4 linked regions of the Cricetulus griseus genome follow. The protein of the gene in region 2 interacts with the protein of the main gene of each other region in a pairwise test. Links are inferred from orthologs where the notes say so. Each region holds a gene or a part of one and is shown on either strand. Other genes may lie near its edges.

Region 1 (3,681 bases), on a different chromosome or scaffold from region 2:
CCTAAGTGATATTGAGAGGTAGGTGAGTGACTGGTTTCATGGAAGGAATGTGAAATGTGTCTAGAAACCAAGATAAAGTGGGGGAAACAAGAGAGGAAGAGGGCCCAGGAGAATTCAGTGTCGAGATGTCAGACTCCTTCATGATGTACTTACTCTGAAACTTATTAAGAAACCAATGCCGTGAAAAGAGTTCCCACAACTGCCACATACCCTGAGAATTAGATGTTTCAATTCGTCATCAGATAGAAATGTTGGCTTGTAGTTTGCTTCTGTGTATGGGTTCGTGGCACCTTGGGGAGAAAAAGAAAGAGTGGGCAGATTTTTCTATTTAGACAGCATCACGTTCCCCTGCCTGCAACCTGGGCTGAATCAAAACATGGTGGATCTGGCTTGGCTCAGAATCCTATCATGCCAAAGTAGAACCTCAGTGAAAAGAGAATGCTGCTGCCCACAGGAGACTGAGTAAGTGCACTTTCCTAATTACCGGGGAAACAGGCATGGTAGCTCACACCTTCAACCCCAGCACTCAGAAGTCAGAGGTAGGTAGGTCTCTGAGACTGAGGTCAGTCTGGTCTACATGGTTCCAGGCTAGCCAGAGCTACATAGTGAGACCCTGTCTCAAAAAACAAAAACAAACTAACAAAACTCCACAAAGACCACAGCTCTGAGTCTCCCTAGCAGGTTCCAAGGAAAAGAGGTCCAAGGTCCTGGGCCATCCAGTAATTTTGTCAAGTCACCACTTAGCAGGTTCTAGAGAAATCATCCAAGCTGCCAGGTCCTGGGTACTTTCCTTGGGAAAGTTAATATGCTTGGCAACCTGGGGAGCATGTTACTTTCATTCACACAGTTCAGTCCTGGGAACTGAGGGGCCCAGACTTCTGTTTAAAAGGCTCTTGATCTGCTGTTCTCCAGAGCAATAGCTTAGCAAAGCCAAGTGCCAGCTGCAAATGACTGGTATATGCAGAACAGTGAGGGCACAGTGAAGGGCTAAGAGGCAGCCCATCTGTGAAAATCAAGGCCCCGCGGGGAAGGAGGCAAAGGGGATGCCTGTGTACTTCACATCAACTCACAAGGCACATGTCTTAATCCACATCCCTTGAAATTTTCCATCCAATTTTCTATAACAATTAGTTACCTAATTATGATGCATCTCTTGACTAAAATCAAGTTTTCAATGCCATTCTTCAAGCAACATTTCTATATATTTTTTTAATAATGATCAAAAGTCAGAACAAAAACAACTTCCTGTTTCTGGTGACCTTACACAGATACAAAGGTGTGCCTCTCTCACCATGTAGGTCACATGGGGCTGAGCACCCTTTCCAAGTTTGTGCTGAAGCCCAAGTCTATCTGGAAAATTCCAGGGACAACATCCACCAAATTGGGTGATGTATTTCAGGTTCCTCCTGCAGCTTTGGTAAGTTGGCTCTTCTTTACTGCCTCTGTTTTCTCACCCTCCCCACACTTAGCAAAGAAGGAAAACACTGCCTCCTTCATGAAGAGTCAATCGAGTTCGGGAAAATTCCAAGAAGACGAAAATATCATCAATGTTCATTTCTGATAATAAGACATTCTACCTGTGACTCACTCATCAGAAGAACCAGGGTAAGTTTTTCTCTTAAAAGTCCAAGGCTCTCTCCTGCCTCCCTGTGTGCTCCTATGCTTCTGATTTTGATCACTATAAGGGATTCAGGCACTTGAAAAGGGGGACTTGAGAGGTGCCCTCTCTGGTAGGCAGGAAGCCAGGCACACAGAGGTTTTGAGCTCATATGTTTATATGCTCTGAGAAGATACTACTGCAAATTACACCTCAGTACCCTCATGGGCTCATTAATCACTTGATTTGGCCCCTTATCTGTTGCTGAGATGTACCAGCATATCACTGAGGGTTATACACTGAAAATCGCCATTTGTGTCAGGGACAGTGCAGGCAAGGGTGGTCACATTTGTGGTCAAGGGCATAAAGGTAATGAAGCCTGAGATCTCACCTCTCAATGTTTTCATGTGCTGAACAGCCATCCTTAGCACGGTGAGCTTATCTAACTTCCTGGACATCGCATTGCATGTTGGTACCAAAGAAGCCAACTCATCAATGAAACTGTTCATTTTGTCCCGACGCCTCTTTTCAATCTGACTGTGGGCCTCCCTGAACATGGGTAGAATGATTTCATTTGAGATGTGAGGCAGCATTGAGGCAACACTGACAAAAATAAATGAGTTGTGACTGCTTCCAAAATTCTCTGACATGGGAAATTCAGACTCTGTACCATGTTTCAAATTAGACTTTTATATTAAAAATCACCTCCCAAGTGTTCTCATTGACAATTCAGAATTAGGTAACTGATTTGTTTCTTCATTTATTTGTTTTTGATGCTTACCCCATCTTTTAAGAAAAAAAAATCTATGACAATTGTTCTTTCACAACAAACTGAATTGTTTATTTTTCCTCATTGTTCTTTTTTTCAGATTCTGTAAGACCAGGTTTTTGGAAGGGATAGGAGGAAGGAAGGAAGGAAGGAAGGAAGGAAGGAAGGAAGGAAGGAAGGAAGGAAGGAAGGAAGGAAGAGGTTCCACATAGCCAAGCATCTAAAACAGCCACAGAACACCCAACATCCCACAGCACGTGCCTCTGCCACCTGTGACCAGCCCACTGTGTGCCCTGCTGAAGCCATCATGTCTGTCTGGAGGATATAACTAGTACTAACATGGTCTTTGATCAACTGAGACCCACCTAGATGTGACAGATTCTCAGTCTGTCCCCAGCCTTCCTTTGAGGGATGCCATATCATACTCTACCCCTGAACTGGCTGCCTGTTTAGGTAGGATGACACTTCCTACAAGATGTGCACCTGGTATTTTCTGACCATCCTCCCATAGGGGAACATCACCAATGGAGAATTAGATACTGAAACACAGAGCCCCCTGAATAGACTGGTCTGCAAAGGAGATGCTAGAAGTGTCAGGTTAGACAGTCTGCAGCTTCTGGTTCTGTGTGTCATGACACAACCTCAACTGGCCCTAGTCAGTGATAGCAGGGAGGCATAAAGACCCAACAGAAGGGCATCAGCAATTGTGCCTGAGACAAGAACTAAGTCAGGAGACCTCTGAGGTTCAGGGATGCCTAAGATCTGCCCTTCAGGTACTACTTGCAGCACAATAAAGGTCCCTATCAGAGGTGGGGCCCAGCCCAGGAATGGCATCTCAGCCATATGTCTTCTGGAGGGCCAGTGAGTGAGGAACTGTGAAGACTGGAGAGAACTCCAGCCTGAATGACTTTCTGCTATGTCCAAAGTTTCCTCCAGGTTAAATGTGCATAGATAGCAACAAGTGAAGGCCAGCTTAGTATAGGGAAAGCCAAGGGCAGAACCTTAAACAAGCTGAAACCTGCTGCCATCTCCTCATTTCCTGAGGTGACAATGCCCAAGATGACACCACCAATTGGGAATAGACATATCAAGACTCTTCAGCTATTCTCTAAGCGACTAAAAAGCTAGGATGTTTTATAGACAAAATCAAAGGTGGAACTTACCTTGCATTCTTGATCCTTCCTTGGTGCTCTGCATATTCTAACCTGGAAGGAAGTACAAAAACATAACCTTTAGTCCCCCGTGTATGACTGGCAGAGTTACACATTTCTGTTTTCTCACTGCCTGACCCCTGACACCTCTCTACAGACACACA
Region 2 (2,726 bases):
TTTGCCTTGTCTGTCACTGGTCAGCCTGAACTTAAAGTTTTCTTGATTTTGAGATTGTGATCTTTGGCTCAGAGTTAAGATTAAGAAAAGTTAAATACAAATACTTATAAAAAAAACAGGTTTTATAGTCCTAATGTATACATCTTAAGTTTTTAAGTCATTTTCTTTTGTTTGAAATACAGGTTGCTCTCAAGGAAGTGGTATTTTACATTATGCTCATGGAGACAGTCAGCAAGCTCACCTGCTAAAGCAAGGTAAGGGGAAGCAAGCACTCAAGATCACTGCGCCCCCTCCTGGCCCCACCTCACACGTGCATTTGTAAATGTGTAGGAAGAAGCTCCATGGGCACCAGCCTCAGCAGCGGGAAGCGCCCCAGTCAGGAAGAGGAGACACGGAGTGTTGATCCCAAAGTCCAGCGGCAGAGCAGTAACTGACATGGTAAATACTTAGGTTTTCTCTCCTGCTTTAGTATAGAACTAACCTGAAATAACTAATGAGGACTGTTCTATTCTCTGGCATATAAGCAGTTGTCATAGACCCTGTTCATGAATGAACAGGAGAGACGCTCCTGTATTGGGCAGAACACTGCACCCAGAACCATGCTCCCTGAATCCAGTCTTTCACCCTGAAAAGCTTTGGTTTTGAGGAAGACAAGGTTTTCATAAGATATGACTGTGAGCCTAAAACAAAGGAGCCTCCTAATTTCAAAAACTTTAATATAATTCCTCTAAAACCTTCACCTCAAACCTTTACTTAAGTATTGATAATTAAGGAGAGAAGGGGTTTGAGACATGGTCTCTGTATAGTGCAGGCTACCCTTGAACTCATACACAGGCTAGTGTCATACTTGCAGTGGTCCAGGCTAGCCTCATACTTGCAGTGGTCCTTCTGTGTCATTTTCCTGAAGGCTAGGATTGCACAAACGTACCATATGCTCAGGTCATGCATTATCTTCTCTGCTGTGCTGCTTCCAAAACCTAAGTCATTAATTTTTAAGCAATGCTGGGCCTTTTTAGAAGTATCAGAAATTGTGTCTACATCCAATTTAATTGAATTTGTGATACTATTTTGTGACCTAATAAGGAAAGTATTTACTAGCTACTTTTGCCAGCTTATTTATTTATTTATTTATTTATTTATTTATTTATTTATTATGTATGCAGTATTCTGCCTGCACATATCCCTGCAGGCCAGAAGAGGGCACCAGATTTTATTGCAGATGGTTATGAGCCACCATGTTGTTGCTGGGAATTGAACTGAGGACATCTAGAAGAGCAGCCAGTGTTCTTAACTTCTGAGCCGTCTCTCTGGTGGCCTACTTTTGCCAGTTTTTAAAGATTATTTTTCATATTTTTGGTTATTGGAAACTGTTTACATTATCACCTAGTTTTTTATGTCACCTAATTATGAATTTCTTGAAGTTAAAATCAGTAAATGCGTATCAGTTTTTTATTATTTAACTCCTTACAGCCAAGTTTTCATTGGTTTTTCCTTTAAATCACAGGAAACACGAAGGAGGAGTTCTGGTGCAGCTGAAGTTGGTGAGCCAGTCAGGACTCTTCATTTAAATTATTAAAAATGTCCTTCATTCACAGAAAACAGATTTTGAACATATTATTTCTAATAACATTTCTGTGGTTTTTAACTTTTTAATGAATATCACATAGGACAAGTGCTAATTTGTATATAAAGAACTTGGCAAAAGGTTTGCTTAATGTAAATATAGTCACAGTTAGTATAGACTCATCAGTATATTTTTGATAATTTTTCATGTATGGTAAAAGTTAAAGTTAACAGATATTCTGATATAAAACTCAAGTTTTGAGAGTCATTGCAGGAAAATGGGAAGTTTTTAGACTTTCTTAAAAGACTTTGTTAAAATTTTAGGACACATTTTTCTTGACATCATTGTTTAACCAATTCTGCAGTGTTTGATAGTAACACTTTAGAAAACACCTGGAATCAATGAGTAGGCGATGCCTCTGTTAGCGTGGACAGTGCCTGGTAAAGCTGCGTGTACAGCTGCTCCCACTCACACTGCTGGGCTGTGCTCGGTTCTCTTTGTCTCCCCATTTTTTGTTCATTTATAGCTGAAGTGACTTTGTTATTAAAGTTTATGCAAATATGGAATCTTGTGTACTTGGTGTTCATTTTTTCATCTTGTTTGTTTGGGATAAGAGAATTGTGTGAGATGTGATGCAAATTACAGAGACAAATACTAGAAACCACATGTCACCATTTTGAATGAAAGAATAGGTTTTATCTAGCAAAATGGAATTTTTCAGAGTTATCTGAAAGAGTCTCATTTGTTTGTATCACTTAATGGTTTTATTGCTGCAAGTTAGGCTGCGTGAGTCATCAGTTAAGAGCATGGGTTCCAAAGTCAAAGCCTGTCTTCTCTCAGTTGTTAGCTTTGAGATATTGGGCATGACCTTGCCTTTCTGTCTTCATCTTACCATCTTAAAATGGAAGTAAGAATAGTATGTAAAGTATTCATTTGTACTGCAAGGCATACAGCCCAACCAATCAATGTTAGCCTGGCTCCCTGGGTTGTACAGGCTAGCTGCTGCTCCCAGTCACCCTCCCTACTGGGTTCCATTAGGCACCTTCATACTAAAGTCACCTCATTTATACTAATATATACCAATATAACCACCGGTTCTTTGTTTTCCTCTCCTGAGTAGTAACAAACACTCCGCATAGTAGGGGTGTGGCTCATGTAGGAG
Region 3 (4,392 bases), on a different chromosome or scaffold from region 2:
GCAAGCTAAGGTTCGAGCAGCAAGCTCATCCAGCTCATTTACTGTATTCTCAGCAGTAATGCAAGTCAGTCAGTTTGTGTCAGGACCTGACACACAGCAGACTGGCGCTAAACATGATGACTTTGTTTCTATCAAGGATAGGTAAGGGAGAGGGAGCCTCGGGAGGACGGGAAGCAACAAATTACAATTTTAAAAAGAAAAGTAGAGCACTGATTCATAAAAAAGAGAGCAGGGGCTTGATTTGGAGGAATAACGTGCCAGTCTGGGTCTATCCAGACCTGTGCTGAGCAGTTCTTCCAGGGTTCCCTGGAAACCTAGATGGCAGGTGAAGAGGCCACCAAGCAGCTGCTGACATAATCAGCTGTAAGTGCACGCCCCTCTCTGTCACGTGGCTAAAGCTTTCCTTAACAATAGTGTTTCCCTTGGAGGAGGCGGAGGGGCAGGGATTTGTAAAAAAGCTGGGACACAGAAGTGTTATAAAATAACCCAGAAAAAAAAAAAAAAAACAGAAGCAGGAAAACGGAAAACAAAAGACACAGGCACCTGAATCCCCAGCTTCCTCTTCCTGAAAATGATGCTGCTTTCCTGCCCCCTCGTACTGTGTGTGACCCTGTTCTCTCCTTTTTTTGTTTTCAGACCCCTTTCTCCCTCCACAGCTCTCAAGGATTTAGGTGTGATTCCTCTGACCCAAACAGCCATTGCTCACCCACCTCCGTATCTGCCATTTACACAGACAAAAGGTTCAGCACTCCAACAGCCCCCACCTAGTCCCAAGGCCCAGGTTGTCAGGTCTGACGGTCCCCACAGTAACCAGGCTCTGCTGCCGTCAATGGAGAAGAGGGGGCGGGAGACAGTGGTGACGTCAAAGCGGAGGAAGGAGGCGGGGCGAGGCAGCCGGGGAATGTGGGGCAGGGAGGCTGGAGAGGCAGCGGTTTGGGAGGCAGCCAGCCCCAGAGGGCGGCGGCCAGCGCACTAGGGAACATCGTGTTCTCTTGGCTGGTGGCCCAGGACATGCACTCAGACTTGGCGCCTCCCCCAACCCAACGACAGCCGTCCTGTACAAAAGCCAGGGATTCCTGGAGAGACGGTTAGGAGAAAGGGGTCCCCCTTCCCTACCCCCATGCCTGGCTCTCTTTTCCGGACTTGGCGTTTGTGGGCCCCCAGCTGGTTCTTACAGCTCCTGGCGTTGGCTTTTCCCTTTCACCAAACTGTACACAGCTGCTGGCCAGGTACCAAAGAGCCACCGCGGGTAAATCGGAGGCCCAGGTTCAGAGAGGGAACGCGCACCTTTGCTCCTTCCCAGAGGCCCCCTTCAGAGGCGGAATTTCTAGTTACTATTACAACACAGAATGGGGGTGGGTTGGGGAGAATGCATTTAGAATAAGGAAGTCAAACTGGGACAGTGCAAGTAGCCTCAGTCTGGAGCCCAGATCTTGGGAGAGGAATACAGGGGAGGAATGATGGAATTTGGGTTGGTGCCTGCAGACCAGAAAAATCAGGAAGAGGGAAAAGAGGAGTCATCAAAACTTGCAGAAAAACAGAAGATGAGGGTTAGCTCTATCACTATTGCTTAGTTACCTTATAGTTTGTGTTTTAAATGACCCAAGCGTGGGCTTCGTATTTTATGTATACTGTTTTTTTAAGCCCCAAAACAACTGAATGAAGGTAGCTATCACTCTTATTTCATGAGGGATAACTAAGACTTAGTAGTCACTAAACTTGCCTTAATTGTCTGCTTCATAAACATGTTCTCAGCTTCTTAATAATGGAGCCCAAGGTTCAAGCTCTGATGATGTCTTGTCCTGGCTTCTTACCCTCAGGGACCCTCTGAAAGTGTTACTAACCCTCTACTCTGCATTCCAGCACCGTCAAACCAGGACTTCTCACATATTTCCCTAGTTCTAAGTTTGGTGCCTAGAATACAAGCTTCATCCAGTTCCTTCTTCCTTTCCGCATGATCTAAAGGCATTGTTTGTACTCCACACACACCACCACCGTTCATTTTTTTTACTATGCTCAAAGGCCTTGAAATCATCCGAGAAGTCTCCAGCCACTATTACAGGAACCTGTAGGAACCTCACTTCCTCCCTCTCCCACCTCAACCAGGCCTGTCTAGACAGCAGAGCAGCCTTTTGGTGCCTCCTCACCTCTGGCAAGTCGAGAAGAGTGGGCAAGCCGGTATATAGAAACCCTCTACCCTATTCTCCCTTTCAGAATCCAATAAATCGCTAGCTCATTTCTGTTTACAAGCATGTACCTGAGACCCCAACGCTATCCTTTCCACGTGAAAAAGTAACCCATGGTCGTGATGAGATAGCTTCCGAGTCACACAAATCAGCACACCAACCTTTCTCAGAATACCATCCCACATTCCCACCTGCCCTACCAGGGCCTTTCTCCAGGCTCAGACTCTGCCTCTCCAAGTATTTAGGGAGCCTACCCAAACCTTAACCAACTCTCAGGCGTCCTATCGCAGGCCCTTCAGCTCCCTCGGGTGGCTGAGGGCTTCTGAGCACTCTAGGCTAGGCAATAGGGTCTAGGGACCCTAGAGAGCTGAGAGATGTATGCTAGTAACTCCCATCCATGTTCCCCTAGAGCTGAGTTTGCAGTCCACAACCGTCAAGCACTCCTATTGCAACCATCGCGCATTTGCATGATCACGCACACACACACACACCACGCCACTGACACCCCTTTTGGCCGAGCAATCCTCCCGGGAAAAACCCATTTCGACCGCCCCAGAGTAGGGGGCTACTCACAGTTCCGATCGCACGCAGAATCCAAATTTCTTCACTACTTGGGAAGCTACTCCACAGGCTCCTCCAGGCCTTCCCACTGCCCATTCTGTCACGCCTCCCAAGCTTATTGGCTTACAGGCGCCAACCCATGCCCCGCGCCGCGTGCAGCCGACAAGCCCCTGCAAAGCCACCATTGGCACTTCAGGGCGCAGTCATCTTACCATTGGGCAACATGACAACCGGTAGTGATAGAGCCACGTGAGGGAGGGGGCGCCCCAGCGCGTTGATTGGACATCTGACCGGAAGCCACACCTCTCGCCCACTCCCAAAGCTTTTATTGGCTGTGGAAACAGCCCCGCCCTGCCTAAATCGGTGACGCAAATGCCAGCCCTGCCCTAAAAACTTTCTCATAGGCTGAGAGGTCTCGGAGATGTAGGGAACACGTGCGGGCCGGCTCACGCGGCAACTTGTTTACCGAGAAGCTGGGGATTTTCCTTGACGACACTTACCCAAGACTGTGGAGTCTGCGCAGGCCTGCCGAGCGACTTGTACGCAGGCGTAGATGTGACAGGCTATGGCGTAGTGGGGATACTTAGTAGAGACCCTGCCAAGACAAGAGGCTCCTGGTGCCCGAGTTTTGTGTCTCCGATTATCCCCAAAGCTTAAATCTGAACATAAGAAGAGGTCTTTAGATTGCATGACGATGATAGTGAAAATGACAGTCGCCTCCTGTTTTCTGTATCAGACGCTTCTTGCAGACTCCTGATGACTACTCATAACCTCACAGAGACTGAGATGCAGGGGTTACATAATCTGTCAGAATTCCCATGTTAACATGTTGATTTAAAAGCTCTGACACCGTGAAGGTAGGTCGGTGTCTTAGGCCTATGGAAACCTTAAGCCTAGAAGTAATTTCAGGGATTAAATGCAAAAAGCCTAACGTATTTAAACTCTCCCATAAAGATAGAAGTTACGGTGGAGTATTGCTAAATACAAGACACCTGGGCACCTTAGAACCTCTAAAATAATGTCCAATGAAAGGGCCTGAAAAAAAATTTTTTTTTGGTTTTTTTTGTTTGTTTGTTTTTTCAAGACAGGGTTTCTCTGTGGCTTTTGGAGGCTGACCTGGAACTAGCTCTTGTAGACCAGGCTGGTCTCGAACTCACAGAGATCCACCTGCCTCTGCCTCCCGAGTGCTGGGATTAAAGGGGTGCACCACCAACACTGGTGGGGAAAAAAAATCTATTTTTTAAAGTACCTCTAAACCGGGCAGTGGTGGCACATGCCTTTAATCCCAGCACTTGGGAGGCAAAGGCAGGCAAATCTCTGAGTTCAAGGCCAGCTTGGTCTACAGAGCAAGTTCCATGACAGCCAGGGGCTACACAGAAAAACCTTGTCTTGAAAAACCAATTTAAAAGAAAAAGTACTTCTAATAGTTCTTATTTCTTGGTCAGGTTTGTTATAGCACATGCCTTTAATCGAAGCTCGAGGGAGGCAGAGAGGCACTTGAAATCAAGGGCAGCCTGGTCTAATAATGAGTTCCAGGACAGTCAGAGCTTCATAGTTGAGACCCTGTCTGCCCCCCCCCCAAAAAAAAAAACCCAAATGTTATTTTATTTTATTTAGACAGGGTCTCATTATGTTGATCAGGCTG
Region 4 (4,360 bases), on a different chromosome or scaffold from region 2:
CCTGAACTGAACACGCCCCTCTGACCAGCCTGCAGGAACAGCTTGAGCCTGGCTAATCACAGCCCAGCAAACTCTGATTGTTTTCTAACTTTACATAACAGGGACCTGACAGCCTGGACCTCGAGTCTGCAAGCCTCATGGTATTTTACAACCTCAAATATTATAACATGTTTTCTACTTCCTGGTAGGAGCCAACTCCCTGGGGCCTGCCTGCTGTAATCCGGAGAAAATGTTTGTCCTGTTAAACAAACAGCCACGCTCTCCATGGTGACGGTTGGGTAACGGAGGAAAATGTGGCCAGGGCTGTCCAAATAAGGAGGGGAAGGAGGCATTCGGGAGGGGCACTGCCTCACCAGGACACCCCCACATGCTTTTCAGTCCTTACCTATGTTGAGGTACCAAGCTGCAGAACAATAACGTACCAAGATGGCAGCCCCTGGTGGTGGTTGAAGAGGAGCTGCTTGAATGCCTTTGCCCTTGGTAACCTGGGCTGATCCTATTTGATCAGGTGTTGCAGTGAATAGGGCCTGTTTCTCCACAAAGCCCACTGTGCCAAGATAATTAAGTGAGGACTGGTAAGACAGCTCAGTGGGTAAAGACACTTGCTGCGGGGATTGGTGACCTGAGTTTGATCCCTGTAACTGACTCCTTCAAGTTGTCCTGCAACCCCCACACGCACACACCCACAGACCCACAAAGTCAATTGTGTAGCCTCTCTCCCTGCTTCTGTCTTGCTCTGGACTCTAGAGTTGTCTGTAGTGACTGGCTTGTTACTATATTCCATGAGCAAAAGACTTCACATGCGGGCCAGATCCCCACAGGGGAGTACCCTGACTTGGGAATGGGCCAGCAGAGGCTCTACACTTGCTTGTTCTCCCAGGAGTCTACTGGTAGGCAGCTTCTGGCAAGGGTTGGATGAAGAGGACTACAAAGGGCTGGGGGTTATGTGTTTCCAGGCCGCCAATACAGTCATTTCCAAGGGCAACACCAACCTCCAGTGTGGCTCTTTCCTCTGCCTCTATATGCCAGTTTTATCAATCATTCATCAACTTCCCAGCATGGGAGCTCAGGGTTCACTGAGATTGGATGAAATTATACCATTATAATAACAGGCCCCCACACCTTCCAGGGTTTTCTAGAAGGTTCAGTGTTTGAGAGAAGCCACATAATAACAGGAACCCTCACTACTTCCTTGTGCACAGCAGATATGTCTCACACCGTGACATTAAGTGACACCAGGCAGAGCTTCAGAAACTTCTTATCTCTTGGACAGGTGCCCGAGAAAACAGTCCACAGACCCAGAACTCCAAACCCCTGAACTGAATCATATTTCAGAGACTGCCTCCAATGAGGAAACTGAGGCCCAGGGTAAGCCAAGGTTCCCAGTAGCTGCCAGCTGGCTGACGCAGGGCTCCCCTGCTGCTGAGTACTCCAGCCTCCACAGAAAACAGGAGCTGCATCAGCTCTGTACCAGGGAATCACACCAAGATGACAGTGACAGATAACTGCAACCACCCACTATGCCATTCCATGCTGGCACACTGTGCAGCTACCACTAAAATAAAGGAGTCCCTGGCTTCATTAGATTCCAATAACTTAAAAGAAAAGTGACTGTGTGATTTAAAAACCCGAATTATAATTCAAGACTTCTGGCAGACTCTGGTTTCCCTTATCAGCCAAATCCCACCTAGGCCCAGTAGACTAAGGTAGAGTGGACATGTCCTCTTCAGGCTTGCACCTCTGGTAAGCATGTGGACCAAGGAGGAAAAAAACAGATCCTGAGATGGCCAGGCCTGGTTTTACAGTGGCACAGCCTGCCAGCCTGTGTCTGTGCCTCATCGAGCTAGGGGTTACCCTGGACGATTTCCAGGGAGCTTTCTGGCTCTCTGTTCTGTATGAATCACCTTTCCAAACTGGTTCCTTGTGTATACGTTACAGAAACCCTGGCAACCAGGGTTCCTGCAGGGGAAGCAGGCCACCGCCCACCTCTGGGTCCATGTCTGCACTTGGCAGCCAAGGTATGTCCCAAAGGATGACGTGATTGCTCCAACTCAGAGTGGACCCTCACCCCCACACATGCCCAGTCCATCTGGAGTCAGGGATACTGGCAAGGATGCCACAGAGCACAAAGTGGGTGGACCAGGTGGTCTTCCTGACCTCGGGGGCCCCAGGTGTGGCTTGGCACTGGGGGGCTGGCTTGCCCCCTTCCTTCCCCGCGTCACCGCAGGGATCAGCGCCTGTCATCCATCGGTCCTTCCCCAGGATCAGGCTTCACTCTCAGGACTCAACAGGAAGCGAGCTTCTCAAGAGACCCTCTGTGTCCTAGGGACAGTTTGCACTGACCCCGGCGCTCTTGGACATCACCAGTGGAGGGGGTGGGGGATAAAGAAAATCATTTAAAGAAACACCGTCAGACAAGACACCTAACTAATCTTGCCGACCCCTGTGCCTAGACCTGCGAAACGGGGGCAGCAGTGTGCGCCGGGACGAGGGTCAGCGCACGGTCCTGTCTGCTGCATTCTGCCGAGCTGCACCCATTCTCTCGGTCGGCTACTTCTGGCGCAGGACCCCGGCTCCAGCTGTCCGAGCCGCCGGTTACGTAAGCCGCCCGCGGTCGTCCCGGTTCGCGCCACCGCCCGGCGCCGCGCCACTCACCGCTCCGCCGTGTCCGCCCGCGCCTCGGTCCTTCTCTCGGCCCGTCCCTCGGTGCGCCCGGCCTGCGCCGCAGCCGCCCGAAGCCGCTAGTCCCTGTCGCGCTGCCGCGCCGCCGGCCGCCGCCGCCGCCCCGTCGCCCTCCGCTGTCACATAGTGGAAAACGTGACCGCGCGCGCTGCGCCCGCCCCGGCGCCCGCCATTGGTCGCGGCGCCGCCTCATCTGCATACCGGCGGGGCGGGACCTGAGAGCACCGCGCGCCAATTGGCTGAGACGCCCGTCGCTCTCTTTACATAAGACGCACATGGAACTCCATGTTCGCCGCCTCGGTTCCTCAATGAAGAAGCTGCGCGCTCGTGCTCCCCCCCGCGTTCTGGCGAGTGGGCTCGTCCACTTCCGGCCCGCGGGCCTTCCATTCACCTGGCACGGCGGCTGCCCGCTCGTGCCGCGCGGAGTGGCACGTACCACTGCAGCGCGGGGGGGACTGATGCCTGGTGGCTACGCAGTTCGGCCCCCCGCGGAGTCCAGGGGCCGCGGGCCTACCACCTGCGGCGACACGGCCGCCCGGGCGCCCCGCAGAACCGAGAAAGCTCTGTGCTGACACCCTTCGCTCACCCAGCCCAGTTCATTCATTTCTTTTCTCATTCATTCATGGAGAAGCGCCCGAAGACAAACAGGGCGGACCCTCTAGATCTGCCGCTGCACACCCACCCAGGGCATCCTGTGCCCCAGGCTGACGGGTCGTCCCCGCTTCCATGTAGCCTTTCTTGATTTTGAAACCGCGTGTTGCAAGTGTGGATTCAGGAAATAAGGTCATAATTACTGTGCAGAGATACAAAAGAAAGAAGTGATTCCTCCCTGCCCTCAATCTCATAGACAGAAAAGACTTGGCGTTCTAAAACTTTAGCAAATGGGATGCTGTAGTTAATTAGCCTTACAAATAAACTCTACGGAGGCGGGGCACCTGAGGATGGGTAAATGGGGTACGCATCTGGAGAATCAGGACTTTTCCAAGGTGGAAGCTGCAGACACTTGCTAGCCAGGGTAGGGAACTCCCCAGGGATGGGGCAGCCCTGCCCTTGTGGCACCTTGGCTGACGCTATTTGTTCTTTCAAGACCAGTATCTGGAAACGTATTAAGCATGCAGGCTTCTGTCCAAAGGGTCAAAGGAGGGAGCAGAACTTCCGTTGGGACTGGTTTAAGGCCCAAGATTTACCTGTATGACATAGAACAACTTAAAGGCTCTGAAAGTGCAAGGTGTGATGGGGAGACGAAGTTGTCTTTGACAAGTGAAAAGGGTCACTTGGCACTGCCCAGGAGCAGCATCTGCTACTCTGGATCTTCCCCTTGGGCCTCCTAGGAACCAGGGATGGAAAACAAAGCAAACATTATAAACAGAAGCCTGTGAAGGGACTGAGCTGCTGGTCTATACAGCCAGTTAACCCACATTCAAGAATTCCTGTGTGTGAGCCTCTTCTTTCTCTCTGCCTGGCAGAACAGGCATACAGATCCTCAGATGCAGCTGGGGCAGACTAAGTTCACCTCAGCAACTCTTCCCAAGGGGCCCTGGGAAGCCAGATGTGTGACTCACACTGCAGGGGGCAGAGCACCACCTCTAGTTCCCCTGACATTGACACCTCACCACACTCCCCAACACACACAAACAGAGCAGAGCTGGGCCAAGCTGCACCCTGCACACACCCAAAG

What was found.
Region 1: the proteins of Cry1 (region 2) and Arntl interact in a two-hybrid assay, tested with the Homo sapiens proteins (3 studies listed by BioGRID, with this or other methods). The link is inferred for Cricetulus griseus from reciprocal best matches to the Homo sapiens genes CRY1 and BMAL1.
Region 3: the proteins of Cry1 (region 2) and Per1 interact in binary tests that used the Homo sapiens proteins (3 or more experiments, as listed by UniProt). The link is inferred for Cricetulus griseus from reciprocal best matches to the Homo sapiens genes CRY1 and PER1.
Region 4: the proteins of Cry1 (region 2) and Per2 interact in a two-hybrid assay, tested with the Homo sapiens proteins (5 studies listed by BioGRID, with this or other methods). The link is inferred for Cricetulus griseus from reciprocal best matches to the Homo sapiens genes CRY1 and PER2.

Annotation. Positions count from the first base shown.
Region 1 is NC_048596.1:87,402,632-87,406,312, forward strand, and holds part of Arntl (aryl hydrocarbon receptor nuclear translocator-like protein 1), read right to left. Parts: intron 3,572-3,681; coding exon 3,530-3,571; intron 2,147-3,529; coding exon 1,989-2,146; intron 291-1,988; coding exon 211-290; intron 1-210. UniProt on the Homo sapiens protein: Transcriptional activator which forms a core component of the circadian clock.
Region 2 is NW_023276806.1:150,312,060-150,314,785, forward strand, and holds the end of Cry1 (cryptochrome-1), read left to right. Parts: intron 1-182; coding exon 183-254; intron 255-330; coding exon 331-434; 3' UTR 435-438; intron 439-1,504; 3' UTR 1,505-2,130; downstream 2,131-2,726.
Region 3 is NC_048600.1:82,966,609-82,971,000, reverse strand, and holds the start of Per1 (period circadian protein homolog 1), read right to left. Parts: upstream 2,964-4,392; 5' UTR 2,760-2,963; intron 886-2,759; exon of another isoform or gene 711-885; intron 1-710. UniProt on the Homo sapiens protein: Transcriptional repressor which forms a core component of the circadian clock.
Region 4 is NC_048595.1:442,981,653-442,986,012, forward strand, and holds the start of Per2 (period circadian protein homolog 2), read right to left. Parts: upstream 2,808-4,360; 5' UTR 2,656-2,807; intron 1-2,655. UniProt on the Homo sapiens protein: Transcriptional repressor which forms a core component of the circadian clock.